Zea mays: one gene and its partners. Each later gene encodes a partner of the first gene's protein in a complex. Links are inferred from orthologs where the notes say so. Each region holds a gene or a part of one and is shown in the gene's direction. Other genes may lie near its edges.

The links.
Region 2: Mediator of RNA polymerase II transcription subunit 23 (region 1) and mediator of RNA polymerase II transcription subunit 14 share a complex: the UniProt entries of both Arabidopsis thaliana proteins name them as parts of the mediator complex. The link is inferred for Zea mays from reciprocal best matches to the Arabidopsis thaliana genes AT1G23230 and SWP.
Region 3: Mediator of RNA polymerase II transcription subunit 23 (region 1) and mediator of RNA polymerase II transcription subunit 18 share a complex: the UniProt entries of both Arabidopsis thaliana proteins name them as parts of the mediator complex. The link is inferred for Zea mays from reciprocal best matches to the Arabidopsis thaliana genes AT1G23230 and AT2G22370.
Region 4: Mediator of RNA polymerase II transcription subunit 23 (region 1) and Mediator of RNA polymerase II transcription subunit 28-like share a complex: the UniProt entries of both Arabidopsis thaliana proteins name them as parts of the mediator complex. The link is inferred for Zea mays from reciprocal best matches to the Arabidopsis thaliana genes AT1G23230 and AT3G52860.
Region 5: Mediator of RNA polymerase II transcription subunit 23 (region 1) and uncharacterized protein LOC100276155 share a complex: the UniProt entries of both Arabidopsis thaliana proteins name them as parts of the mediator complex. The link is inferred for Zea mays from reciprocal best matches to the Arabidopsis thaliana genes AT1G23230 and MED9.
Region 6: Mediator of RNA polymerase II transcription subunit 23 (region 1) and Mediator of RNA polymerase II transcription subunit 33A share a complex: the UniProt entries of both Arabidopsis thaliana proteins name them as parts of the mediator complex. The link is inferred for Zea mays from reciprocal best matches to the Arabidopsis thaliana genes AT1G23230 and RFR1.
Region 7: Mediator of RNA polymerase II transcription subunit 23 (region 1) and Mediator of RNA polymerase II transcription subunit 32-like share a complex: the UniProt entries of both Arabidopsis thaliana proteins name them as parts of the mediator complex. The link is inferred for Zea mays from reciprocal best matches to the Arabidopsis thaliana genes AT1G23230 and MED32.

What each region holds. Positions count from the first base shown.
Region 1 is NC_050100.1:213,163,240-213,166,173, reverse strand, and holds part of Mediator of RNA polymerase II transcription subunit 23, read left to right. Parts: intron 1-237; coding exon 238-481; intron 482-550; coding exon 551-1,304; intron 1,305-1,761; coding exon 1,762-1,943; intron 1,944-2,934. UniProt on the Arabidopsis thaliana protein: Component of the Mediator complex, a coactivator involved in the regulated transcription of nearly all RNA polymerase II-dependent genes.
Region 2 is NC_050097.1:176,292,247-176,295,863, reverse strand, and holds the end of mediator of RNA polymerase II transcription subunit 14, read left to right. Parts: intron 1-297; coding exon 298-1,343; intron 1,344-1,819; coding exon 1,820-2,618; 3' UTR 2,619-3,117; downstream 3,118-3,617. UniProt on the Arabidopsis thaliana protein: Component of the Mediator complex, a coactivator involved in the regulated transcription of nearly all RNA polymerase II-dependent genes.
Region 3 is NC_050100.1:126,532,858-126,537,120, reverse strand, and holds mediator of RNA polymerase II transcription subunit 18, read left to right. Parts: upstream 1-1,463; 5' UTR 1,464-1,853; intron 1,854-2,047; 5' UTR 2,048-2,057; coding exon 2,058-2,093; intron 2,094-2,860; coding exon 2,861-2,960; intron 2,961-3,033; coding exon 3,034-3,091; intron 3,092-3,159; coding exon 3,160-3,516; intron 3,517-3,618; coding exon 3,619-3,721; 3' UTR 3,722-3,985; downstream 3,986-4,263. UniProt on the Arabidopsis thaliana protein: Component of the Mediator complex, a coactivator involved in the regulated transcription of nearly all RNA polymerase II-dependent genes.
Region 4 is NC_050103.1:84,916,337-84,919,931, reverse strand, and holds Mediator of RNA polymerase II transcription subunit 28-like, read left to right. Parts: upstream 1-1,127; 5' UTR 1,128-1,273; coding exon 1,274-1,463; intron 1,464-1,897; coding exon 1,898-2,010; intron 2,011-2,775; coding exon 2,776-2,910; 3' UTR 2,911-3,095; downstream 3,096-3,595. UniProt on the Arabidopsis thaliana protein: Component of the Mediator complex, a coactivator involved in the regulated transcription of nearly all RNA polymerase II-dependent genes.
Region 5 is NC_050097.1:1,837,529-1,841,689, reverse strand, and holds the start of uncharacterized protein LOC100276155, read left to right. Parts: upstream 1-1,361; 5' UTR 1,362-1,526; intron 1,527-1,677; 5' UTR 1,678-1,712; coding exon 1,713-1,973; intron 1,974-2,606; coding exon 2,607-2,669; intron 2,670-3,144; coding exon 3,145-3,225; intron 3,226-4,161. UniProt on the Arabidopsis thaliana protein: Component of the Mediator complex, a coactivator involved in the regulated transcription of nearly all RNA polymerase II-dependent genes.
Region 6 is NC_050097.1:165,234,306-165,238,521, reverse strand, and holds the start of Mediator of RNA polymerase II transcription subunit 33A, read left to right. Parts: upstream 1-1,416; 5' UTR 1,417-1,564; coding exon 1,565-1,884; intron 1,885-2,516; coding exon 2,517-2,627; intron 2,628-3,364; coding exon 3,365-3,709; intron 3,710-4,216. UniProt on the Arabidopsis thaliana protein: Component of the Mediator complex, a coactivator involved in the regulated transcription of nearly all RNA polymerase II-dependent genes.
Region 7 is NC_050101.1:142,578,410-142,582,382, reverse strand, and holds Mediator of RNA polymerase II transcription subunit 32-like, read left to right. Parts: upstream 1-1,454; 5' UTR 1,455-1,573; coding exon 1,574-2,017; intron 2,018-3,260; 3' UTR 3,261-3,473; downstream 3,474-3,973. UniProt on the Arabidopsis thaliana protein: Component of the Mediator complex, a coactivator involved in the regulated transcription of nearly all RNA polymerase II-dependent genes.

The sequences.
Region 1 (2,934 bases):
TTGGCCAATATGGTTTCATATTAGGATTATTTTATCTGTGGTCAGTGCTTGTTTGTCCATTTATACCCAGCTTTAAACTAATTATTGTAATATATGCTGCACCTATTCCAAAACTATAAAGCTACTATTGGCTGTCAACTTACCAAACAGAAAGTGAGGTTTTCTTCTGAGATACATATTGTTTTGTTTTCAATGGTGGTAATAGAATCTTGATGTCCTCTAGTTTTGTTGATGCAGCTATCCACCCTTCTTCGATGACATTGCTGCACGTCTGCTTCCTGTTATTCCACTGATTATTTATAGGCTTATTGAGAATGATGCAACTGACATTGCAGACAGAGTTCTTGCATTCTATTCTTCCTTGCTTGCCTTCCACCCGCTAAGATTTACATTTGTACGTGATATTCTTGCGTATTTCTATGGTCATCTTCCAATCAAACTAATTGGTAGGATCCTCAACCTGCTGGGTGTTAGCACTAAGGTAAACCTATTTACTTTTTTAGTTGTAACACTTTGTGCCTAACACTTGCTAACTATGAGCTTTTTCCAGACCCCCTTTTCAGAATCTTTTGCTAAATATTTAGTGTCATCAAATTCTTCAATATGTCCACCACCAGAATACTTTGCCAACCTGTTGCTAAACCTCGTTAATAATGTTATACCTCCTTTAAGTAGCAAATCGAAATCAAACCCAGCAGACACAACACGCTCGACTTTCAACAAACATCATGCATCTTCACAACCTGGTGGAGTTGGTAACACCGATGGCCAGAGGGCATTTTATCAGAATCAGGATCCTGGGTCGTATACACAGCTTGTTTTGGAAACAGCAGCTATTGAGATTCTCTCACTTCCTGTGCCTGCTGCTCAAATAGTGTCCTCTTTGGTCCAAATAATAGCACATGTACAAGCAATACTTATACAGTCAAATAGTGGCCAAGGAATGTCAGGTGGTTTGGGGCAAAGTTCTGGGCTGCCAACTTCTCCTTCAGGGGCTGCTGAATCCTCAGGTCCCAACCAAGCGAACAGTGCTGCAACTGGCATCAATGCCACTAACTTTGTTTCTAGGAGTGGTTACTCCTGCCAACAATTGTCTGTTTTGATGATTCAAGCATGTGGTCTTCTGCTGGCACAACTCCCACCAGAATTCCACATGCAACTATACTCAGAAGCAGCTCGAGTCATAAAAGACTGCTGGTGGCTTGCTGATGGTTCCAGGCCTGTTAAAGAGCTTGACTCTGCTGTTGGATATGCACTGTTGGATCCTACATGGGCTTCCCAAGACAATACATCAACAGCCATTGGTAGAACATTTTTCTTTAGTCTTATGAGCTGGATCAGATCAGAGTTAACTTAATGGAAAATTATATTGCGTCCTTGTTAGCTAAAATACCATATTGCAATGTTTCAAAATAATCACAAAAATCATGTATGTAGTAGACCTAAAGTTAAGTGTAGCCGCAATAAATCAGTTTGAAATTCATCTTTGATGTTGAGATTAAAAAAATAGAAGTGTCACTATCAACACATGGTGAACAGTGTCAGGTTGACTGCTTGTCTATTTTATTTCTTGGCATCTAGGATGAATTTCAAACTGAATTGTTGTGGCTATACTTTATGTGTATTACATACATGATTTTTATGTTGACTTTTGGAACATTGCAGTTTGGTGTTTTAGCTATCAATGGCGCAAAATCTGCACTCTAACTTAATATGCTAGTGCCTCAATTATGTCTTATGTCGTTTGTGCTTTGGTTGCAGGTAACATTGTTGCCCTTCTGCATTCCTTTTTTAGCAATCTTCCACAAGAGTGGCTGGAATCTACTCATACTGTCATCAAACACCTTCGGCCAGTCAATTCAGTTGCCATGTTAAGAATCGCCTTCCGCATATTGGGTCCCTTGTTACCTCGTCTAGCCTTTGCTCGACCTTTGTTCATGAAGGTATATACTCGGTTTTCTCTTTGCAGTTACTCCAAAATTAGAAATATGTGGTATATTTTTCCTTTAAATTAAATGCTCAACCAACCTTGAAGGAACAAGGTGTTTTTAATTTAATAATTAAAGAATATGCACCGAAATTTGCCTTGATGAGGACTTGAACTTGTGTGGCCCAGAGCCCCAGAGATACATCCACTGTCCTTGACTATCTGAGCTAGTCTCAGTTTTACTTTAGATTTACGTTATGAGCTTGTAAGTGGTCTAAATTTAAAGTCAACAGCTTTGTATGGCAAGGTGTTAGTCACTTCGAATTGGATCAGCATATGCTGTACCTGCAATGCAACCTCAATAACTGCTGCAAGTTTATGTTCATCATTTAGCATCATTCCAGCATTTTTTGTCAGAATTTACATATATTTTCCAGGGTGTCATTCAAGTCCCAAACTCCGAAAATGCATTTTTAAGTCCTCAAGCCTGTCTTTGTGTGACGTCGAGGTCCCAGTTTTTTAAAATGTTATTTTTAGGTTCAGAGGCTTGTCTCGGCTTGTTATCTTGGTCCCTAAACTTAGTGTGCCACTTAGGTCCAAATAGACCCTATCTACTCCACCTCACAACACCACATGTCACAACAGTTGGATCCATACCTCATTCTTGACCGGCTGCTTATTGGCAAAGCATGCTAGGGATAGACACAGGTTTTGGGACAAGATTTTATATTTCATTTAAGCCATTACGCAAAAACATAGCAGGTTTAGGTATATATAGAAGTAGCGAAGCAAACTTGAAAACTAAGAGATTTCAGCATATGCAGATATATATGCTAAAGTAGATGCTATTATGCTAATGTAGGTGCTAAAGGGAGCTAAGAATGTAAGGTGCTGACATATGCACCTACTCTTAAGATAAATACAAGATTTAGTCTATCAAAGCAATCGTTTGCCTACCTCTTCTGCTTAAGGAGCACTAACTCTGCCACTACTACTGATGATGTCAT
Region 2 (3,617 bases), on another chromosome or scaffold:
AATAATGGATCAATATTTCATAGTCTGGAAGTATAAATGAGTGCTGGCGTTTTTGTTGTTTCACTGTACATTCCTGTGATCTGCTTTGCTGGCAGTGGCAGATGGGTCATTATCATTCCAATTGGCTTCCATCAATTCACTAGTATCTGTTGATAAATAGGTGAAACCGAGTACAAAAGCTTATGCTTTCTGCTTAAGCAGAAAGTTTCTGTGAGATTGCTCAATCATCTTGCTTTTTGCAATAAAGCTTACCTTTATTTGCCAGCTATCTCATAATCAATATTTGCAAAAATGCAGTTTCTGGAGGATTTCGTGAATGGTGGAGAGGTAGCATCCTTCTTGGATTGCATTCGGCTTACAGCAGGACCATTACTTGCCCTTGGAGGTGCAATTCGTCCTGCAAGGATGCCTGTTGCTGTCTCATCTGGATATAGCTCTATGCCAAAACAGCCGAACATCCCCACACAAGGGCCTTTAGTAAATGGTTCATCTTCAACTATACATCACGCACCTGGCCCCTCAAATGCTGCATCTGCCCATTTAGGCAGTCATAACCTTCATGCTGCTGCCATGCTTTCAGCTGTTGGACGCGGTGGACCTGGGCTTGTTCCCAGTTCATTACTGCCTTTTGATGTTTCGGTTGTACTTCGTGGGCCATACTGGATACGCATTATATATCGCAAGAAATTTTCTGTTGACATGCGCTGCTTTGCTGGGGATCAGGTTTGGCTCCAGCCAGCTACTCCTCCTAAAGGTGGACCTTCAGTTGGTGGATCGTTGCCATGCCCACAGTTCCGGCCTTTCATAATGGAACATGTTGCTCAGGGTCTAAATGCTCTTGAACCCAACTTCATGAATGCTACACAGGCTAGTGGACACTTAAATAACAATGCAGGAGTTCCACAAACTGCTCCTAGTGCAAATCGTTTAAATGCTACCCCTGGTGTTTCTATGGTCAGGCCAACATCTGGTGTTGCTAACCATGTAGCAGCCAGTTTGAGTCGAGCAGGAAATGCCATGTTGGCTTCTTCGGCTCTTGCTTCTGGTATTAGTGGAACTTCTGTGCGACTTACTGCTGGAGCTGGTCTCCCTGTTCACATGAAAGGTGAACTAAACACAGCTTTCATAGGACTGGGGGATGACGGTGGATATGGTGGTGGCTGGGTTCCTTTGGCAGCTCTTAAAAAGGTGCTGAGAGGGATCCTAAAGTACCTAGGAGTTCTATGGTTGTTTGCACAATTGCCTGAACTTTTGAAAGAAATACTAGGATCAATCTTAAAGGACAATGAAGGTGCTCTCTTGAATTTGGATCAAGAGCAGCCTGCACTCCGGTTCTATGTCGGGTAAGAAAATATAAACTGGCAAGTATCCCTTGTTTTCTAGCATCATATTTAAAGTAAATGCTATTCATTTTTTTTTGGCTGCGCAATTAAGATTGAGGATCTACATGAAAGTATCCTTAATTTTCTATTGTGCATGGAAGCTTTGGTGCTTAGCGCTATTGAGTTCCCTGACCTTCTTTTGGAAATAGTACTTTGTTTATATCTGCTGCTCTTCGGATTATATATTCATTCATCTATTACATGTTACTAGTGTGCGTCAAATATTTACTGATTCCTTAAGACTATACTTAATTGTTTACTGAATATAAGTGGTGTTCTTTTATTTAATTTGATGCTATCAGCTCATAATTGGTTGAGCTTAGGCTAGCCTTATAAGATGAAAAATTGGTGTTCAAAATGACTCATCTTGTTTTTCCTGAGTTGAGTATTTTCATTTGGGATTGCTAGTAAATTGGTACCTGATTTCATAATTGCAGAGGATATGTATTTGCAGTAAGTGTACATCGGGTTCAACTGCTTCTACAAGTTTTGAGTGTGAAAAGATTTCACCACCAGCAACAGCAGCAGCAGGCTCAAAGCAATGCTCAGGAAGAGCTAGCAGCAGTTGAAATCAATGAAATATGTGACTACTTTAGCAGACGTGTTGCCTCCGAACCATATGATGCTTCTAGAGTTGCTTCTTTTATCACTTTGCTTACATTACCAATTTTGGTTCTGCGCGAGTTTTTAAAGCTGATTACATGGAAGAAAGGTCTTTCCCCGGTTCATGGGGACATTGCTACTGCACAGAGGGCTCGCATCGAGCTTTGTTTGGAGAATCACTCAGGATCAGCTTCGTCTGATAACACCGAGAACAGCAGTTTAGCCAAGAGTAATATTCATCATGATAGAGCCCACAGTTCAGTAGAATTTGCCCTGACATTTGTACTTGACCATGCTCTTATTCCTCACATGAATGTAGCTGGAGGAGCTGCCTGGCTTCCATATTGTGTATCTGTGAAACTTCGCTATTCTTTTGGGGACAACAATCATATAGCTTTCCTTGCTATGAATGGGAGCCATGGTGGGAGAGCCTGCTGGTTGCAGTTTGAGGAGTGGGAAAGATGTAAGCAGAAGGTTTCAAGAGCTGTGGAAACTGTGAATGGGTCTGGTGTAGCTGGAGAGGTAGGCCAAGGAAGGCTGCGAATGGTTGCAGAGATGATCCAAAAGCAGCTTCAACTCTGTCTACAACAGCTAAGAGATGACCCACTTTCTGCAGGCTCGACTGCATCATGAACTTGCTTGGAATGAGCTCTATCAAGGCCATTGATGTCTGTCATATTCAGCATGGCCTTTGGCTTTGTTAACGTGTAGATGTGAAGGAATACACATTTGGTAGCAGTGACAGTTTCGCCTGAGGCTTGCTCAGATGACAATTTTGTACAGTATAAATGGTGGCGGTTGACTCTGATGGACCTTTAGTTAGCCCATTTGAACGTGGCCTGTAACATAGCTAGGGTGGGTAATAATGTGCCAAGGTGGAATTGCTCAGGGATGCAAAATGATCTTCGGGAATTGGTTGTCTGTATCATCTACTGTAATCGTGTCCTTTTTCTCCCTTTCTGATGGATAGTTCATTTTTGGATTCGTTATCATCTTTCTTCTGTCTGTACTATGTTAATCTAGACATTGGTGGATCTGGTATATGTGTTGTTGTACATGATATATTGGCACTGGACTTGAGACTGACGCATTTGACGTCTTAGTATTAGCAGGACATCTCTAGTTGTGTTCAGAGTGATTGGACACAAAAAATATTGCTTGGAGCTTTTCTTTAGGGCTAGTTTGGGAACTTAAATCTCGACCCCATAGATTCCTGGAGAAGATTTGAGTTCCCAAACTAGTTCTTAATGTTTCTTTTTTTTTTCTATTGCATCTTCTTAGTAAATGATGTTTTTGTAACTGTAAAAACCGTGCCGGTCAAGATTGATACCTGGATGGATAAGATGATGTTGGGTCAGATTTCTTGCTCATGGTTAGGAAATTGATGTGAGCACTCTGGCCAGTTTGTTTGAAACTGATATTCGTGAGTTGTGATTGGAAGCGTATGGATAGGCTTTTTAATCGTGTTAACCGTCATACGGGTAGGCCTTTTTAGTTCTCGTGCTTCTACGTTTGGGACACAGGTGTCAGTTTTTGTGCTTTAATGGACTCCATAGGTATCACGTGAAGCTGACATAAGTTACTTATTATCTTCATTTTACTCTATCTTCTCGTGAGAGGAAAAAAAGGGTT
Region 3 (4,263 bases), about 87 Mb from region 1:
AAAGGTGAGACAGGAGCAAGATAAGATAAGTATAGAATGAATCAGAGTAAGGTAATTAGGAAAGGGTTTTGTCCATTTCTATTTAGGTTTCGTCCTACAGTCAACATTTTCTCTGATACCACTTCTGTCACACCCGGATTTAAGGAACAAAGCCGAATGCATCTCATACATGTGCCAAAGAAGACAACATATATAATAACAGAGTGTATAGAGATAAATGTCACAATAACATCAGAGTACTTATTACATCGCGGAAGTCTTACAAAATAAAAGATAAATATAAATCGAACTAAAATCCATCTTTAGCGCCAATAAGTCAACTGGGAGATGCCACCTAGATTAGATCAAACTCCTCATTGTGTGCCTCCTCCTGAACCACCTGTTCTTCTCCTATGGGGGTGTGAGACAGAAAGGGTGAGCTCACATATGATCATAGCTCAACAAGTTGTGGGGAAACTAGTGTGCATGAACTCACCAAAGGTGAGAGTTCATGTGAAGTGTAAGGCTGATCAACAAAATAAAGGTTGAAGCTGAGCATTGCTTTTATAAGTTGGTCAAAATTTTATTAGCAGTTACTAAGTGTAAGTAAATACCAAACCATAATAAATAATAGAACAAAATTAATAAGTAATCACATGCAATGCAAATGACAAATTGAATTTAAGTTCCATTAATTAATCATGCGACAGTTCTGAGCTGCTCATGACCATGAGCTCGGCTAGTATACCAGTTTTACACTCTACAGAGGCTGTACCCTGTATCCACAAGTAATGTTACCCATCTACCAAGGGATCGCGACTCTCATACACCTCTACCAAGGAAGCGAGACAGGGCAACACTACGAGGCCTTTATAAAGTTCCACTAGATTTCGACTTGCAAGAATCCCCCGTCTGACCGCCATCGCAGCAAAATCAACCGAGAACCTCTCTGCATGTAACTCTCTTACTGCCGTTGCCCCTTTCGGGTAAGGTAGTTTTCCACTAGCTTTCCTAATTAGTTAGTCAAGGGGTCTCATTCCTCTCTTGTGGTGACACATGTTTCTCAAGTTAAGCTCTATGTTCCAATTAAAGATAATAATCTTGACATGAATAAAAATAAAATAACAAAATAATTGGAACATGGATATAATGAAATATTAACCCAAAACCATGTAAAGAAATAGTAAAACTATCAAGTGATTTAGGAATAAAAAGGTAAAGTGATAACATATCTAGAGTAACCTATTAGGTCTTATCAAAATTAAAATAAAAAAAGTGACAAATAAGGCTGAACAACCCCCGCACCGCGACTAGGCTGAACAATCCTGACTCAAGCCCACGGTTTATCTTTTCTGTCCGAGATCACCAAATTTTGATACTTTTTTCGTTTTCGCTATTAACCAAAAAAACAAATTTCAGTCCGTTTTAAATGGATTTGATTCAAAATATAACAATATAAAAAATAAAAGATTAGTCAACGAAACGAAATTTGGATCATTCCAAACGAGACTGTGAACTCTCCCAGCTCAAGCCCACCTCCCTGCTCAAGCCCAGCCGTCCACTGCCTGGCTCCCTCGTCCGGTCGTTCCCGTCTCCCTCCTCGCGTCGCGTCCACCATTGTTCCTGTCGACGCTGCGCCGCACGGCTCGCACCGCCGACAGTGCCTCAGTCCTATCGAGCCTCCCTCTTCCCAGATCAGGCCCTAGCTGGGCTACAGCCGCCGCCGCCGCTGCCGCATCCGTCACCTTCACACCGCGTGCGCGCGCGCTCTCTCTCTCTCTCTCTCTTTGCGACGACTGGACGGGCTACCGCAGTCGCCACCATAGGCACCACGCCCTTCGCTGATCTATTCGCTGGCGAAGAACGCTCTCAATGTATTCCCACTCCCACCCCCTTCTTCTCTCTACCCGCTGTGCGAAAACGAGTTCCCGAACTCTAACCTAACTATTTGATGTCTACTAACTTCTAATTTTGTTTTTTACTGCCATACTGGTCCACCCCTGATACACATATAACAAATCCACTAACGTGATTCTTTTTTTTTGGGTGCAAAATCATTGTGGGACAGTAGAAGATCGATGGAGTGCGTGGTGCAGGGAATCATCGAGAACCAGGTATTGTGCCACAATGCAAGTTGGCACTGATGGTTTATGTAAAATTTGATTTTCACGCATTCCACTAACATTTGAAAGATAGGAGCTCTTTCATCATCGTTAGTGCAGTCTATTTTGTTATGCAGATCAGACATTAACTTTTCCTCTCACTGCTTGCATCTAGATTTGATAAGTATTTTGAATGGTGTATAGATTGTTAATATCTATTTGTAAGTATATACTTATAGTATTGAATTTGTTGTTGAACATTTCGTTACTAATTGAATTCCGTTGCTGTGGACAAAACAATCTCATATTGATGTACATGTACAGTGCACAATGTTGAGCTTACGCACCATACAATCTAGCTTCATTTTAGTGTTCAGTTGAGCTCCCTTAGGTATGGCCACTATCCATAGTTGCCAGTTGGTGGTCACTTTTCTGTTTACTCCATCACAGATAAATACTAACAAAAGTTTATTTTATTGAAGTGATAAATAGATAGATCATGTAGACCACTAAATGTCAACAATTTATTCCGCGCTTTAAGGCACTACTTCTGGAGCTTTTGATTTCATTTGTTTTTTTTCTTCTCAGCATGTTAACAGAATAGTAACATTTAATATACAGTTGGGGGAACATATGATCTATCCTTGTGCTTTTACAATAGAGAGGAACTTAATTTTTTGGTATGTTCTAGTTTATGTGTTGTGCACAGAATGTAAGTTGCTCTTTGTTGTACTGCTCTGCCATTAGTTTAACCTTTGTTTGATCTTTCCATTTTGCAGCATGTCGATGCTCTTGAGGTTCTACTCCAGGGACTCTCTGGTGTCCCGAAAGAGCGTTTTAGGGTGCATGAGCTCTGCCTTAAAAGTGGGCCCAATCTAGGTTAGTTTGTGATTAGTCTACTCCTCCATTCCTACACATGTGGCGTATTAACTGACGTCTTGCAATCATACAGGTGTTGTCCCATCGGAGGTTCGTTTGTTGTGTGACTTAGCTCAGCCCACACCATCCTGGTAACCGAGACAAGCTGCTGAAAGTCTACCTTTTGTTATGTTTATCATTAATTGTGACAAGATTGTAGGACCATAAGACATGTTGGTGGTGCCATGAGAGGTGCTGGTGCGGAGCAAATCTCAGTTCTGGTTCGTACAGTTGTGGAGAGCAAAGCTAGCAAGAACGTCTTGCACTACTTCTACACCCTAGGGTACAAGCTAGACCATGAACTCTTGAAGAGCGGTTTTGCATTTCGTTTCCACCGAGGTGCCCAAATCACTGTCACTGTTACATCTGCTAACAAGATGTCAAGGCTCCATGCAACCGATGAAGCTACGCCAGTCACTCCTGCCATACAGCTAGTGGAAATCACAGCTCCTGCTGCTGCTGATAATTACAATGATGTTGTTTCAGCTGTCACTGCGTTCTGTGAATATCTTGCCCCGTAAGTACCCCAAAGCTTGAATTCCGAGGCAACAATCAGAAAACATATAAGAATGAACCAAACACCTTTTTGGTTTTAATAATCCTTGGAAATCTGCTGCAGGCTGCTGCATCTGTCAAAACCAGGACACTCGACAGGAATCGTTCCAACAGCAGCCGCTGCTGCTGCCTCACTCATGTCAAGTGGCGGTGGCAAAACCTTGTAATGCTGCTAGGACAGCCAAAGTCCGTTCTTGCTGCTAGGACAGCCAAAGTCCGTTCTTTGAGATGAGTGGGCGTGGCTAATGAGGTGGCCTTCTTCGTGCCGAGCATTTGAGCAGTCAGTTTTGCCTGCTAGTGTTGTCCATGTCTGACACATCGTTGTGCCAACCTTGCTCTTGGTTTGACTGGTTGCATGATTGCTGATGGGTAATGCCCTGCCTTGTAGTTGCAGGGTGTAACAATCTAGTATTACCAATATTAAAATTTCTCAAAAATCCAAACCATAATTTCTTTTCTCAAAAAGAAGTTTATCTCATGTGTATATATTTTTCAACTAGGTGAGTGCCCGTGCGTTGCGACGGAAGTAAAAAAATTGTATGAAATATATAAACGGAACGACAAATATCATTATGATATGCAAAATCCGTATGGTAAACATTATCAATATTAGTGGCATGTCCTTTGTGGAAAGACCACCCATTAAAAAGTCATTGATGCACCCATCGGTCGAGACGTTGACAGGAGATTAGTATGACACTTAAGATTG
Region 4 (3,595 bases), on another chromosome or scaffold:
AGGTACCTGAATTTTAGTTTTTAGTGTGTTGTAATTTATATAGACATAATCTACATTTTTACTCTTAAGAATAAAATATCTATTGAACAAAATCATAAATTTGGTAGATTTTGATTTGTGTTGACATAAAGACCATTAACATTTTGCAATTATTTTAGTAGTTAGCTAAGGGAAAAAATATAGGTTATAACATAAAGGTAAACAATAAAATTATAGTCTTAGACCCCCTTTGGACCCTTGGAATTGAATTCTAATATAATAATTGTAATTTAGACATAAATCAATTAAACTAATATGGTTTTATAGTGAGTATATTTGTATATTAGTGTTGGCCATATTTGAGAGATATTTATATGTTACATTTCTACTATAGGAGAGTGAGTAGAAGAGTGTGTTATAAATTACAGAGTAGAAACGTAGAATTGAATACATAAAATCAATTTCCACCCCATCTTATGAATTTGAGATGAGTTTATATCTAAACTTTGGAAAGTGGTGTAATATCAAATTCAAATCAAATAACCTACTCTATTAAATACTCCCTCCAGTCTTTAAATACTTGATGTTTAAGTGATTTTCACTTTGGATGCAAATACTTGATGTTGAAGCATTTGAAGCTTATTTTGGACTAGCAAATGCTTGATGTTGAAGCATTTGAAGCTTATTTTGGACTAATATACCCTTGATATAAGTGGTTCACACATTCTTCCACATATGCTTAATTATTCTTATCGTGAAGGTTTGATCTCACGACCTAGTGTAAAATTCTTTAGGACCCAACCATCTAGGCTAACATCTTCATGTGTTTGTTGTGGAATCTAAGCGTATTTATTAGGGGTATTATGGAAAATAACAACCCTATTTAATAGCTCCTTGGTATATGAGGTCATGTCCAAAACATCAAATATTTGAAGACTGGAGGGAGTAAATTCCAATTCTTTGAAAATAAAAGGATCCAAATGGTCCTTTATTAGCAATCAGTGGTATATAAGAGTGTTGCCTAAATTTTAGGCACCAAAATATGAAGAAGTGTGCTATTATAAAAAAGAAAAAATATTTCAGAAAATTGTCAGCCTGAACAAACTATGCGCTTTCCTTCAGCCAAGGCAGCCTCAGCCCTCGAGCCTATGCCTATCCAGGCGCAGAACACGCCATTTGTAAACCAATCCTAGCCGTGCGTCTTCAATCCAACGGAAAGTTCCTCCTTGTCAATAGCAAATCGGAGGCCCAAGCGCTCCCAATCTCTCCGGGTCCTCTCTCCGCATTCTCCGTCATGGCTGAGCCGACGCCGTCGCAGTCGCCAGCGCAGACGCCGCCCCCGCCGCCGACGCAGCAGACTCCCGCGGCGGGTGGGCTCGAGGACATGCTGGCGTGTGTGGCGGCGCTGGAGGCCGCGCTGCTGCCGTGCCTCCCCGCGCGCGAGCTCCAGGCCGTCGACCGCTCCCTCCAGTCCTCCCACCAGAGTACGGCCGACCCCCATCATTTCCCCACTCTCCTCCTCTAGAGGTAGCTTCACTTTGATCCGGCACGGCTTCGACACCAGTAAAGTCTCATGGTGTTCGGTCGGTTAATGGCGCCGTCGCGCGCCACATGTTCGTTGTTTTGCCTACGGGATGGATAAAGGGATCTTGCTCTTTCTAGAGGAAGATTTTGCATCTTTCTTGTGCCCAGGAAATTGTATATCGATTGGTTTCTTAGGTCCTAGACTGAGAACTCAACTTGTATCAACTGTACCAATCAGGCAATCACATTGCAATGCTTATTAAAGAAGTAAATCACATTTTTAGATACCGACTTAATAGTGTGCAATGCTTATTAGAGAAATTTAATTGCATTTTCTCATTCGTTCCTGCCAAACAGGGTATCTAAGTGTTGTAGTCTCTACTAAATTGGGCAGTTGATGTTGAGAGGCACGCAAGGGATTTCATGGAGGCTGCCAAGAAGCTCCAGTCTTATTTCATCAGCCTGCAGCGTGAGGAACCGCCATCTGCAGAAGAGATGCTTCGAAAGGTATATTTCTACTTTATCCTCGTATAGTTAAGAGTGCGGCAAGGATAGTAGTTAAATTAAATTGGGGACTGGTTATGGAGAATGAATTAATTATAAAGTGTTTGGTTTGAGGAATGAGCTAGTCCATCGTCTTCTCACTTCTCTTTTTTTATTTGATTTGTGGAATGAAATAAGGAATGGAGTCATTCCTTATAGTTAGTTAGTACTAATATGAGAAATAAGGTCATCCCAGCAAATTTGAGGAATGGACTCATTATACACCACATCATTTTGGATTGAGTGACTCCTCAAACCAAACACTCCCTTAAAAGTTTTCATTGGTGATAGGATTGACATTTCACATGATATGATCATCCCAAGTACTGTGATCATTTGTGGTTGGCACTATACTTAGGAATAGCCAACTTTATAAATCACATAGTGCTACTTGCTACAGGCAGTTTGTTACACTCAGTATAAGCTTTATTACAAAGACTCCTATATTTCTACTCGAAGTTGAGGTGTTCATTATTGAAAGAACTGGTAGCCTGCCTGAATCGTCACTTCTACAAAGTAATGTTCCCAAGGAACACCCAATCACATTCATACACCTAACACCTTCTGTGCTCATGAATTTTTCATGCACACGTTTCTGTAAAAAAATGCCTTTGCAGTAGTTGAGAGAATCACAGGTGCATAGTTGCTGGTCTTAATTAGGAATTTGGGATACATATACCCACCCAATATTTATCATCTCGTTGGCATGTTCGGTTTTGCATTGCACAGGAGATTACGACAATGGAGGAAGAGTTGAAGAGCAAGTCTGAGCTCATTGCCAAGCACAAGAAGTTGATTGAAGGGTGGCAAAAGGAACTGAAGGAGCAGCTGAGCAAGCACATCACGGAGCTTGAAAGGGTGTGAGGAGTGCGATTCTGCGGTTTACCTTGTAGTGATCATGAACCTCTAGGTGACCAAATGTTATGTTATGCCCTATAAAACTGTGTACATGTGCTTAGAATCTGACGCCATGGTTAGCAATCGCCTTTTGTTGGTTTCTTAAGGTTGGAAGCCACGAACAAAGCCCACTTTATCTATGTTTGATTGTGTACCTTTACTTGCCCCATGGTCTCTGTTGTTGTGCAAAATGAGTCTCTGCCATCATAAAACGACATAGAATGCTAACGGCTTCCTGTCTTTATGGGTAAACTTTGGGTGAATTTATGGGTAAACTTTGGGTGAACTGTTGGAGTCAGCCTAGCGGGTTATGTGCCTACTCTGGATGGCCGCCATGTTCGCAAGTTCCTTTCTATCTTTACTCCATTTGTGCCTGGATCAGCTCGAACAGAACCTTCTCCTGACAAAAAGCCGAGCCAAGTGGCACAGTTGCTACGTTGAATACACGAGCAAGCGAAAAAAAACACTTTGTGTTTTATCTCCGTTCCTAAAGGTGCACTGCCAGGTTGTTCAGTAATCCACTACTAGTCAAAATCTTTCTCAATCCATTTCAATACACCTTAATCCATATGATTTTGCTATAAAATGAACAAGACCTAAGGACATAATCCTTGTCATCACAATTCATATGGATTGGAGATAATTGGATGAG
Region 5 (4,161 bases), on another chromosome or scaffold:
TTGCCCTCATGTAAGAATTTTGCCCTCATAACGATCACGCGTCACCTAGTGTGTGTAGGCATATACTTTGTATGGCGCATTGTGCTGCCTTCCCCGGTATACGGGTCACTGTAGAGGCTCCAGTGCTGAGGTTTTTTCTATGACTGGGTTGACTGACCCCACATGGCAGTGGGGATACGCCTTAGAGCGTACGTGGTGGCGTTCAGTCGTGTCGATAGTGACCTCCTGGCGCCCCTTCGGTACGTTGCACATATGTCCGGACGTGGGTTGATGATGACGCGTCTTGTCGTAGCCATCACGGGTTAATAGCGTTAGGTTGGGACCTCCGCCTCGTATGGTTGCCCAATTTGGAGTTGGTCGACCGCTCCTCCTCAAAGGGTTGCTCAGTGGGGAGTTGGTCGGCTGCTCTGCTTTGCGAGGTTGCTCGTCGATGAGTTGGTCAGCCGCTCTGCCTCTCGACGAGGAATTGGTCGTTCGCTCCATCTTGCAAACTTGCTCGACGGAGGACTTGGTCGTCCGCTCCGCCTCGTAGGCTTGCTTGGCAGAGGGTTGGTCGGCTAATGGGCCGGAAGGAGGTTGTGGGCTTACTTTTGGTTACCCTGTTCCTAGGTACATGACAATTTACATAGTAGAGTTCTATTTGGTAGAGCTCTTTTAATGGCCCCTCAACAGCTTCTTCAAAAAGGCTACCAAATGGTGGGCTCCTCTCGTGGCTTCTCCATAAAAATAGGAAGGAGATGTCCCTAAAAACCGAGGAAAGCCCAGAGCCTAAAAAGGAGGCTTCTCTGACTCGACTCTCTCTTGTCACTCACCCTCCCATGAAAATAGGAGTAGTTGTGTTTTAACTAAATAGAGTGTTCTCCAAGGGTTACTAAAAATAAGGATCAAACTATTTTTTTCAGATGAGCCAGAAGGAAAGCCGGTGATGCAAAAATCCTACCAAAAGGGAGCCTCAGAAGAGTCAACCCACTTTATAATAGTACACATATTCAAGTTTTAAAATTATATATAACCTTAAAAATCATCTATATATTTTGAGCTTTTAAAGTGGGCTAACACGAACCCTACTAGATGTTAGTGTCGGCATGACATGATTAGACACTATAGTGCCGTGTCTAGACAATAGTACTAACACATCACGACACATTTACTAATAGTGTCTAATAACACCATTAATGCTGGACAGACAATCTATTTAGCCATCTATAGATGAATAAGGTTAAAAAACACTATCTATCTCCTCTCGTATCTAATATCTATCCACTATTTCAACTCCAACGCTACAAACAAAGGTATGACTATCGTACAACAACAGTTCTTTAGACGGCCATATCAGCTGGACACAGCCACCGTACTCCGAGATTAGCGCCCCCGTCGGCCAAACAGTACCGGACTGGCCGCCGTTCACAGTTCACGCCCCGCGTGGTCCCTATTTCCCGGCGAGCACTAGGCTACCGCCGCCGCCGTCAGGTGCCGGTGCCCAGACCTTCGTCGTGCCCATTTCACCGGCGACGAGCACCCACTAGGTATGCCCGTCCCTCCTCTCCCCTATCTGCTTTGCGAAACCGAGCACTCAAAACCTAGCTTAAGAATCGGATCTGATTCAGGAGTAATTGCAAGTATATGCATGTATTATTATGCCTACTAAATTACTAATAACTTCGATTTTTCCAATAGCCCCTGCCCGCAGGTGTTGGGAACTGGGGATAGAGATGGATCACCACCACCCGCAGCAGCAGCAGCAGCAGTACGGCGATCCTTACCGTGGGCTCATGACGTCCCCGCAGCCCGACCACCACCTCCACGCTCTTCAGTACCATCAGCCGCAGCCGCAGCAACAGCCGGCGCTTATGTCTCCACCGCAGCCACAGCCAGCACTGATGTCTCCACAGCCGCAGCAGACACTGATGTCTCCACCGCAGCCGCAGCAGCATCACCACGCCTCTCTTGCCTCCCACTTCCACCTCCTACATGTAAGTAACGGAGTGTTTGGAGTTGTGTGGAGTTTTGTGTTTTGGGGGCCTTTGCTCTTAGTTTAAGATAGCATAGATGATACATACCCTCAAATGAACCCTTCTTTTTGTAGTGATGTCATTGATGTTGTTGGAGTGTGCCCTTTGTGCACCGGAATTTCAAAATTCTGAACTTGGGATTTTGCTAGTCATTAAAGATTGTCATTAATTTGTCCTGTATTTGTTGCTCAGCGATTGCAATTTCTTCACACCATGATTTGTCACTTTGGCCGGTAGTGAAGATTGCCATATTATAGGTGTACATGAACGATATACAAGCGTCAGAGCGTGCAACATTGGTAATGGCCAGAGAAAATGTTGATTCTAATCACTCGAGTTGGTTTGACAAGAAATACATAAATTAAAAATATATATGAGGGCACTTTAGGTATTGTAGGTTTTCTTAAGCTGGCAATCACATGTCTGTATTGGCATCTAACATTTAGGCTTATTTCCAATGGCTTTTTTGCAAGTAGCAAATCTTTGTTTCCACTTTTATGATGGCTCTTCTTCCTTTTACTCTTTGAGAAAGTACTAGAATGTATTGTGAAATACTGATAGTTTTCTTCTTTGCATAATTTTGTTCTCTGTTAGTTGGTTACAAGATTAGCCGATGCTATTGGTACAGGAACAAGGGACCAAAATTTCGATGCACTGGTAAGAATCACCATTTACTAATTTTCATTTGTTTTATGGATCAATGTTCTTGTACTCATAGTGCATGATCTTGTCAGAAACAATAGTTGTAGCTTCTTCTAGGCGTGGAGCCTGAATATTCTTATACAGAGTTTGAATTGACATGTGATGTAATTCTTAAATCACTTCCCAGAGAAGAGACAGGTCACAAACAATGCTCTAGTGTTGGTGGTGCACAGGAAGCTTGGGACCAGCCCAGGGTGACAGGGTCTGCACGGTTCAGTTTTCCATAGCCAAAACCAAGCCAGTGGAAGACATACCCTTAGTTATGCAATTATGCAATTGCAGAAGCATGTTAAAATTACTACTATGTATTGTGTACTTCCATGCTGATTTCTTATAGAATACCAGCTAAACACCATATTTTTCCCAGCGTTTTGCTAAATCCTAATTCCAATAGCTACTGTATTAAGAGAAGCTTTTTATATATATCTAGGTTGAAGAATTGACCAGCCAGTTTGCTAGGTGCCAACAATTGTTGAACTCCATATCGGGAACAATAAGCTCAAAGTCTACTGTAAGTTCTGTTACTTCTCTTTCCTGACTCATATGCTTTATTCTTAGTGGTCTTCTGAATTTGATAATAATTACTAAGTTAAATTGAACTATTCTGGCTAATGAATCTCAATTACTTTGTTTTGGTATCCAATAAAATTTTCAATTGCACAAGAATTAAGAATTTTTTCCAGAAATGGATAATAAGACGGGGTATAGTAGATCTGTTGCAGGTTTTTGTGTTGTCTCATAAAATGTCTATAAATATTCATGTCTCTAGGCAAATCCTTTTAAAAAGTTAATTCACATTTATTTAAACATCAACAGGAGCATTGCCATATTATATAGAAGGCATGGGACTAAAAGGCTTTCTTTGGGACTGCCCCAACTTGATTGGAGCTAAAAGGCTTTGTTGTTGCCAGAAGCACTAGCATATCATATAAGAACTCAAATGTGCACGGTGCACACATGTTGTCCTCATGCTCAAACACGGATGAGGCTGCCCAAGCAGTCTTGGAACGTGCCTACTGAGCAACTCACACACATAGAGGCTTAGTCCCCTCTGATGAAAATCCCGTGTGACACCTGAGTCGCCCCAGTCAGGGATCAAACTCGGGTAGTAGCGCTCGCACGGTCGCACCGAGCGGCCTTAGTGCCTTACCACTGACTTACTGAGCCATTGTTTTGTTTTCTAATTCACAATTATTAGTTGTTAAGAGTGTCTAAAGTTTGGCTAGTTTTGGCAGTTTTTACTGCTGGGTTACTAGTACGTAATAACTGATGTTACTAGCCAGTAGGGACTGTCGGTTTAGTGGAGACCGGCATGAGCTGCCTTCCTTAAAAAGCCCTAGTTTTCCAGTTGATACCGGTGTCAGTGCTGTCATTACGATCTACAATATTTAGAACCATTTTAATAGACCTAATATTGCTAATTTTATATGTTGTATGGTGCTGGTTA
Region 6 (4,216 bases), on another chromosome or scaffold:
GTCCAGCTTTTTTTTATCCGGCGAGCACAACAGCTGTATATGCAGTAAATTCTAAAATATATCATCCATGAGACAAGTATATAATGGAGTATACTTTTATTTAGTGCAGAAGAAAAAAAGATGATTATGTGTGCTTCTTTTTACTGGGAATATGTTATTATGTATTTAAAATTTATGTTCAAAAGAACTTAATAAAAATATAATATTTTTATTTGATCACGATTGAAGTAAGAGTGTTCTCATTTGATTTTTATTGTGGTTAGCTGAGCAAACAAGGGGAGAAGTTGACGGCTTATGAGCACTGTGGCACACAGCTGCTGTGCTCGCTGGATAAAAAAATTTGGACGAATAAATAAATCAGTCACAAAAATAAAACTGGATGAGAAATAAATCAGGACAAACAAATCAGCGACATAAACGAAAAATATGGACAAAAAAAACAAATAAGTGACAAAGACAAAAAATATTAAAAACCACCCACCATGGGGCTCGAACCCGCGACCACAAGGTTAAGAGTCTTGTATTTTACCAATTAAGCTAGACAAATTTTCTATACAGAACAGAGCTCGGCGCCATGATCTATGGCGCCGAGCTCGGTACCACGTCGGCCCCACGACATTCGTTTGTGCCAACGCAGCACGTACCTCGGCGCCATAGCCTATGGCGCCGAGCTGTGTTACCTCGGCGCCACAGGCTACGGCGCCGAGTAAATGGTCAAAAATGACATTAAAATTTTCTAGGGTCTAAATGTGATTTTTTTTCCGATGAAGGACCAAAATGCAAAAAATTCGGAACACACGCATACCTACCGTCTTCTCCTACTAGTACTAAAAAGAGAGAGAGATTTGTTTGGCGGAGAGCGAGACAGAAAAAAGTAGTACCATATCTGCAGGTGAAGTGGTCAGGCTGTGTCACTGTCAGTTCCCACTCACTCACTGACGCCGTAGTAGGTGAGCGTGAACTCAACGGCCCAACTCCGAGGGCCGAGCCTGACGCATCGCCACAGTACCCAGCCAATCCGAACAGGACGACGGCCGGCGTGGCCACCGCGCCGCGAGTTGGGCTGCCGGACGGACGGTCGGTCGGCGGGGCCCGCCGCGCGCGGGCTGCAGCAGCAGCTTTTTTCCAAACCGCGAGCGACGAAGTCAAGGGCGCCGGGACCACGTGTCAACGGGTGGGGGCTGGATCACGGCAATGGCACCACCACGCCACTTGGTGTGGGACCACACGTACCTCCAGGATCCGCTGCGGCCAGTGGTAGCCTGGCGACTCCATTTTCTCTTGGTTGGAAAGCTCGGTCACGCAGAAGATCCTGAAGCGGCGGCCCCACCGCGAGGTGGTGCGGTGGGGGACTGGGGGGAGAGGTGGTTACACCAACGGGACGCCATCAGCATCATCGGCGATCGGACCACCACCAAACCAACCCAGCAGCACAGCACCTGCAGGGCTGCAGCAGACACCACTCCAGCAGCCTCTCTCTCTCTCTCTCCTCACCGGCACGGCACTCCACGCGGCGGCAGGAGCACCCACCGCCACTGACGGGCGGGGGGGAACACGCGCGGCCATGGCCACGTCGGCGCCGCCACCGTCCTCCGCGCCGTGGCTGGAGTGGGCCGCGGAGTATACCAAGGCGGCGCAGGCCGAGGCCCGCCCGCCGCCGGAGTGGGCGGCGCGGGTGGCGGCGGCCGCTGCGGCGGCGGGCGAGAGTGAGGACGTGCCCTGGTCCGCGGGGCTCGCGGAGGTGCTGGCGCGAGCGCTGTTCCCCGGCGGCGGCGGCGGCGGTGGCGGGGCTGCCCCGGCGGCCGCCGCTTGGAAGTACGCGGAGGCCGCGCTCGCGGCGCGGCTTGCGTCCCCGGCGCTCCTCCTCGCGCTCCTCTCCACCAGGTGCGGTCCGGTGCTTCGTGGCGTCGGCTTGTGCGTTGTGTCTGTGGCGTGGTCCGTGGCGGTTGGTAGGATCGGAATGGCGGAATGCAGCGCTTAGCTGTCGGGGATCTAAATCGAATCAGTTGCACCTCGAATGCACGCAAGCAGTTTTACGACGTGTCCGGTCAGGTGTTTGCCCGTACACGAGTTTTACCAGGAAGCTGACGTGCTTCGCCCCGATAATTTGAGGGGGCGGAAATACGCTGTGTGGCAGTGTCATGTGTCAATGCATTGCCAAATGACAATGTGGGTAGATCACACCATGGGAGAAATGCCTGTTTTAAGAATATATAAGCAGTTGGACACTCAGTCGGTAGGCTAATCAGGGCTTCACTGCAATCCTCGTCCAGTTTTTTTTTTCAAGAGAAACAGGGTCTTGTAATAGCCAACACGGTTAGTTTGACCTATGTTTTGGGACTGGAAAAGTAGTTAGATTAGCGTGTGGCAAATCCCACTTAGTACTAATTATTTCACTGGCTGGTATTGCTGTCGTGCAACGTGCTTGGATTGTGTGGTGTGTGACCTTATGATGGAGTTAGGACTTTTCTCAATGTTTATTCTTATGGACTTCGTTTGTTCTTCGGGTCCTGCAGGGTAATTCCTCACCGGCTTTCCAGGCCAATGGAGTATAGACTCTACCTTGAGCTCTTGAAAAGACATGGGTTCAACTTCCATCATCAGATGAAAGCAGCAAATTTCAGAAAGTGTGCCTTTCCCCTCTCTGACTGCTCCCTGTATTTTCTTAACACTATGCTCAAGTCAGTGGTCTGGAATGAGAATCAGAGTAATAGGTGTAGTGTTCAATGTAATTTAGCATTATTCTTAATGGCCTTAAAAATAAGCATTTCAGTTTCAGGTGTTTGTAATTGTAATAAGGTTTACACTTGTATATACACCTTGTTGTGTGATGTCTCTGTAGTGGATTAGTGGTCATATCTTAATGGCCTTAAAATAAGCATTTCAGTTTCAGGTGTTTGTAATTGTAATAAGGTTTACACATGTATATACACCTTGTTGTGCGATGTCTCTGTAGTGGATTAGTGGTCATATCTGTCATTTCCAACTAAGGGCCCCAACTTTTATATGATGGAAAGTCTACTTGTCTTGCAGTAATGCATGCAACTTCTCTTGAATTTGTCAAGGCGGCATTTATTGCCGAAATTCTTCTGGAAATTTTCTTATATATCTTTTATACATTACTTATGTTCTTCACTTCCTAATACTTTGCACTGTTATTGCTCTATAACTTTAAATTGTTTTTTGGAAGTAAGAGTGTATGTGCTTCCATGTGGTTTTTAAGCTTGTTCCTTGCACTGTTATCTATTCATGCACTCTATCCCTATAGAAGTCTCAAATGCAATTGAAAAAAGGGCCTGTCTTGCAGTGTTAAATTTGCTGGAGCAATAAGAGATCCTTGCTAAAGCCTCTCTAATGTTTGCAGGATCATGGATATAATAGAGCGGAATCTTAGACTTTCCAAGATATTTGGCATCTCTACATGTGAACCAGGGGTTTTTGTTGTGCATTTCATTCTTTGTATTATATGGCAGTTGATTGATGTTGTTCTGGATGATGAGGGCCTACTAGAGTTAACTCCAGAGAAGAATGCTCAATGGCCAACAAGGCCTGAAGATGTGAGCACATTTGAAGGAACTTTTACTGAACAAAGAACTGAGAAGATCAAAAAGTTACAGAAGATGAACACTGTAACAACTATGGAGCTCATTGAGCATCTTCTTCGCGATAAAGTAATTACTCGTATCCTATCATTGGCACGCGAAAACATGTATGTCTTTTCAACTTGAAGTACTCTTTTACTGAATTGTTTCAGGTCTTTATTTTTGAGCATTTGGAAATGATGAATTCATCTTTTTGCTGATTGGTCATTAGTAATCTGTTTTCAAATATATTAGTCAAATAACAAACTAGATCTTCATCTCATAGGCTCATGACCTCATAAACTTCACTCAAGCTTATGGAGGAAGCCTTGGTTTATTCCTGTTTGTGTGGGATTTGGGTTTGGGGAGCTACAAATAATTGCTCAAGATTTTGCCAGTAACATAACCAATGTATCATAGAATATTCTGTGTATTTTCTCTAATGCAAACATTTAAGATAATGTTCTAGAAGCACTTAGGGTTATGCAAAAGGAAAAAAGTACAACTGTCTATGCTTGTGGTATTTTATTCGCCTTACCTCTTAAATAGCCAAGAAAAGTTTTGATAAAAACGGCAGCCATGGGACTCGAGCTTTGTCATGATCTGATGAACTGATGGGTGAATGTAAACATCAA
Region 7 (3,973 bases), on another chromosome or scaffold:
GTGAGTCCTTTGTTCGTTTTCTTGTCATTCGCTTCGAGTTTGGCGACATGCTTTATCTGCACGCTTAAGCCAAAGCTTCTTCTGTTCCTCTTTTAACCTGCATTAGCGACCTTCGGCAAACATGAATTGGTTGCTCTCGGAATAAATGATAAAGTGGTTAAGATTAGTTGATTTTAATTAAGGACCTCCTGCAAAGGCTTACCCCCAACAATTGCTTTCAATGTACGGTAACGTTTAATATACTACGTATTGTGTATTAATAGAGTGATTCACTGATAATAACACACCCATTTGGTTACATGTCAAGCCAGATGACATGTCTAGAACTATCTAATCAGAGTCACAATCAATAGGGACAATCGTAGCAGTAAGCCAACACACCACTCAGCTCTTCCTACATTCAGTGGCGGATCTCCAACCGAGGCTGGGGCTGCCTGGGCTGCAGCCCGGTCGCGGCCCAAAAATCAGCGAATAAGCCCATCAGCTCCAGCCGCGCGACCGCGTGAACAGCCTCCCAGTCGTAGGTCGCTCCTCCTCCCTCTACCCACGAGCTTCAGGCCTCCAACCGCCCACGCCCCGACGCCCGGAGCACCGCTGCAACCCGCAGCGTCGCTCGCCCGGAGGCCGGACCGCCGGAACACCGCCGCTAGCCCCGCCCGGAGCACCGCCTTGACCACGCCGCTGTCCAGCCGCCACTCCGCGCTCCCTCCTTCTGCTAATTCGTGGAGCTCAGGTTTGTACACACGCGCTGAGAAGAAAGTGTGCTTAGCTATTAGCTTGTTCTTGCATTGGAGTGATGAGCCAGACAGCCAGTGATGTATGGCCTTGCCATAATGCCATGCGCGGTGTGCGGCGTGTGCCAATGCCCCTCCAAGCTTTCTGTTGGGGGTTCCTTGTTCTGTTGGGAGTTTGGGACGATGAAGGAATAGGAGGCCAAGAGAGTTTCTGCTAATCTGTGACAGATCATGCAGGAATAGGACGTCCCATGCGAACTGCGAAGCAGAAGCAACGAAGGTGAAGCTGTGATCTGTGAAGCAGACAAGCAGTGAAGGTGAAACATGTGCTATTGTTTGCTTTAAGTTTGATTTGAAATTTTGATTTGATTATTTATTTGGTAGTAATCCCATGCTTATAAGAATAGGATGGATAAATTTTTCATCAAGAACCAGAAGAAAGATGATTCTAATTCTAAAACAATTAGGATAAACGAGAGTCTTGTAAAAAAAAGACCACGTATAGTAGCTCTGGATCCGCCACTTCCTACGTTCTGTCCGCACGATTGATCGCGAGCTTCCCAACAACACGCGTCCAATAATGTAATTTTTAGAATTTATTTACTATACGGTCTGGGAAAACAATATTATTTTTTTAGAAAAAAATCCATGCCTACAATCTCTAGCCCTGGTCCAGATGCGTATGTCGAATAAAAAGGCCCATCCTGATCTCGACCCGATATCGATTGGGCCATTTCGGCATTTCCTGTTTTCACGCTTTGCTTTCGGTTTCGGGGTCGTCGTGTCGAATTGGGGGCTGAGGCCGAATTGGATCGTCAGAAGCTGGGGGTGAGGGAGGGATGGAGGCGACTGTGGACCACCTGAGCGCGGCGTACGACGACTTCATGGCGGCGGCGGCGGCTGTGGTGGAGGCCCGCGTACAGTCGGGCGGCGAGAAGAAGACGGCGGCCACGGACGCCGCGCTCGAGGCCTTCAAGCAGCGCTGGGAGATCTTCCGCGTCGCCTGCGACCACGCCGAAGAGCTCGTCGAGTCCATCCGCCAGCGCATCGGCTCCGAGTGCCTCGTCGACGAGGCCACGGGGTCCGCCTCCGCCGGATCCGTTGCCGCCCCCGGCATCAAGCCCATCAGCGCCGTCCGCCTCGAGCAGATGAGCAAGGCCGTCCGATGGCTCGTCATCGAGCTCCAGCACGGCGCCTCTGCTCAAGGGACCGGCGGCAGTGGCGGTGCCGCTACCCCAAATGCCGGCGCTGGAGGGCAACACCCGGAGGAGGGTGCCCAGTAGGTATGGACTATGGAGTTACTGAATTAAACTAGTAGCATCGCCCTTCTCATATGAAAATTGTAGCATTTTTCCTTCAATAGAAAACAAAGAACTTGTCGTTGCTGTGTTTCTATGAGTGACAGCATTAACCTTGCGTGTTGATATTTGCAAGAACATGAACTAAGGTGCCGTTTGGTTCATATATTTGTAACGTAATGGGTAATGGATAACGTTAAATCATGTTTGTTATAGTCCAACCGTAATCAGATACCGTACTAAAATTTGATACCAGCCTATTCAAATTTGTTACCGCCAGTAATCGAGCGTAAACTATTACCATTACCATTTGCGTTACATTTTTTGAACCAAACAGCACCTAAATCATTGCGATTTGCTGGCTGTTGTTTTTACCTTTCCATTTTGAGATATACTACTACTCAGCATTAATGTCTTTATGCCCATTGGTTATTGCCCAATCTTTACACAGATTGCTAAAATGCTGCTCTCCATAAAAAAAAATTATAGTGTCGTGACAAAGCATGAGAGGTATATAGATCTAATTACATGATGACCAGAAAAAAAAAACCTGGGGGTATAATGCTGCGCCAGTTTTAAGTCTGTACCTGTTTGGACCAGCCAGTGTATGGGGATTGGTTGTTGCAGTTTTTGATTTTGAGTCAACTCTTTTGTTGAGTGAAGAGATAAGGTTGGGAACTTGGGATCCCTGGTTTGAGATAGACAAAAAAACTAAAAAAGGGCTGATCCAGTGCTGGAGGCTCTCACACGAGTGGGGTCTAGGAAAGGGATGAGCTTCGAACTCACGACTTAAATTAGGTGCCGTTTGGTTCCTAAAATGTAACGTAAATGGTAACGGTAATGATTTGCATTCGATTACCAGGGGTAACAAGTTTGAATAGGCTGGTATCAATTTGTAGTGTGGTATCCAATTACAGTTGGACTTAAACAAACATGATTTAACGTTATTTGTTACCTATTACATTACAAACATATAAACCAAACAGCACCTTAGTTCCTTTATCGTTCTATAGATCCAAAGTTTTATTCACCACTGCTATGGTCCCTACAGATTCATGATATTTGAGTTAACAAAGCAGTACTGGTTTTCATTGTTCTCAGAGTATATTCACTAGTCATTTTCACAAAAGCACGAACTGAATTGAACAGTAATTTAGTAAGATGGTTACCAAGAAACCAGATATGCCCATCACTGTATCTCAAATGTATGTTAATCTATTATGTGCAGAAAAAAAAGATTTGACTATGCTACATGACAGTATGCTGATAAACTATTGGAAGTAAGCAGAAATGTGGAGATGTCATAATCTGTTTGTATCGATATTATAGGATCTGTAGACAAAGTACAATTTCACAATTTGATGGCTGCACTCAAGAGAATTGGCTGAGGACTATGAACTACTCCCTCCATTTCTAATTATAAGATTTTTTGGCTTTTCTAGATCAATAGTTTTTGCTACACACCTAGAAATATATTATGTATAGATACGCAAAAGCTATGAACCTAGAAATGCCAAAATGTTTTATAATTTGGGACAGAGGAAGCATTAGCAGAAAAAACATGCGTTTACATCCAACATGGATTAAGACGCGTTAACGCATTATCATACCAAAAACATAGATGATATGGTGAGCAAAGTGCATTATCATACCAACAACAGTAACATGGATTAAGACCACAACTGATTGTTAAAATTTGGCCACTGACTCAATATAAGCAGTGTACCTAAAAAATAGAGCTGAAATGAGATAATCTGTACAGAAACTTTAAAGGTTGTAACCAATGCCAAATTCAGAAAATAGAGCTAGATAAAATATTAGCTCCATAAGTATACCGGACTTTGATAAATGTAACATGCTGAATGATACTACTCCGTATCATGTGAGAAAAGGATCTGAGTATCTGGTCGATTAATTTAAGAATATATTAAGACCTGGAAC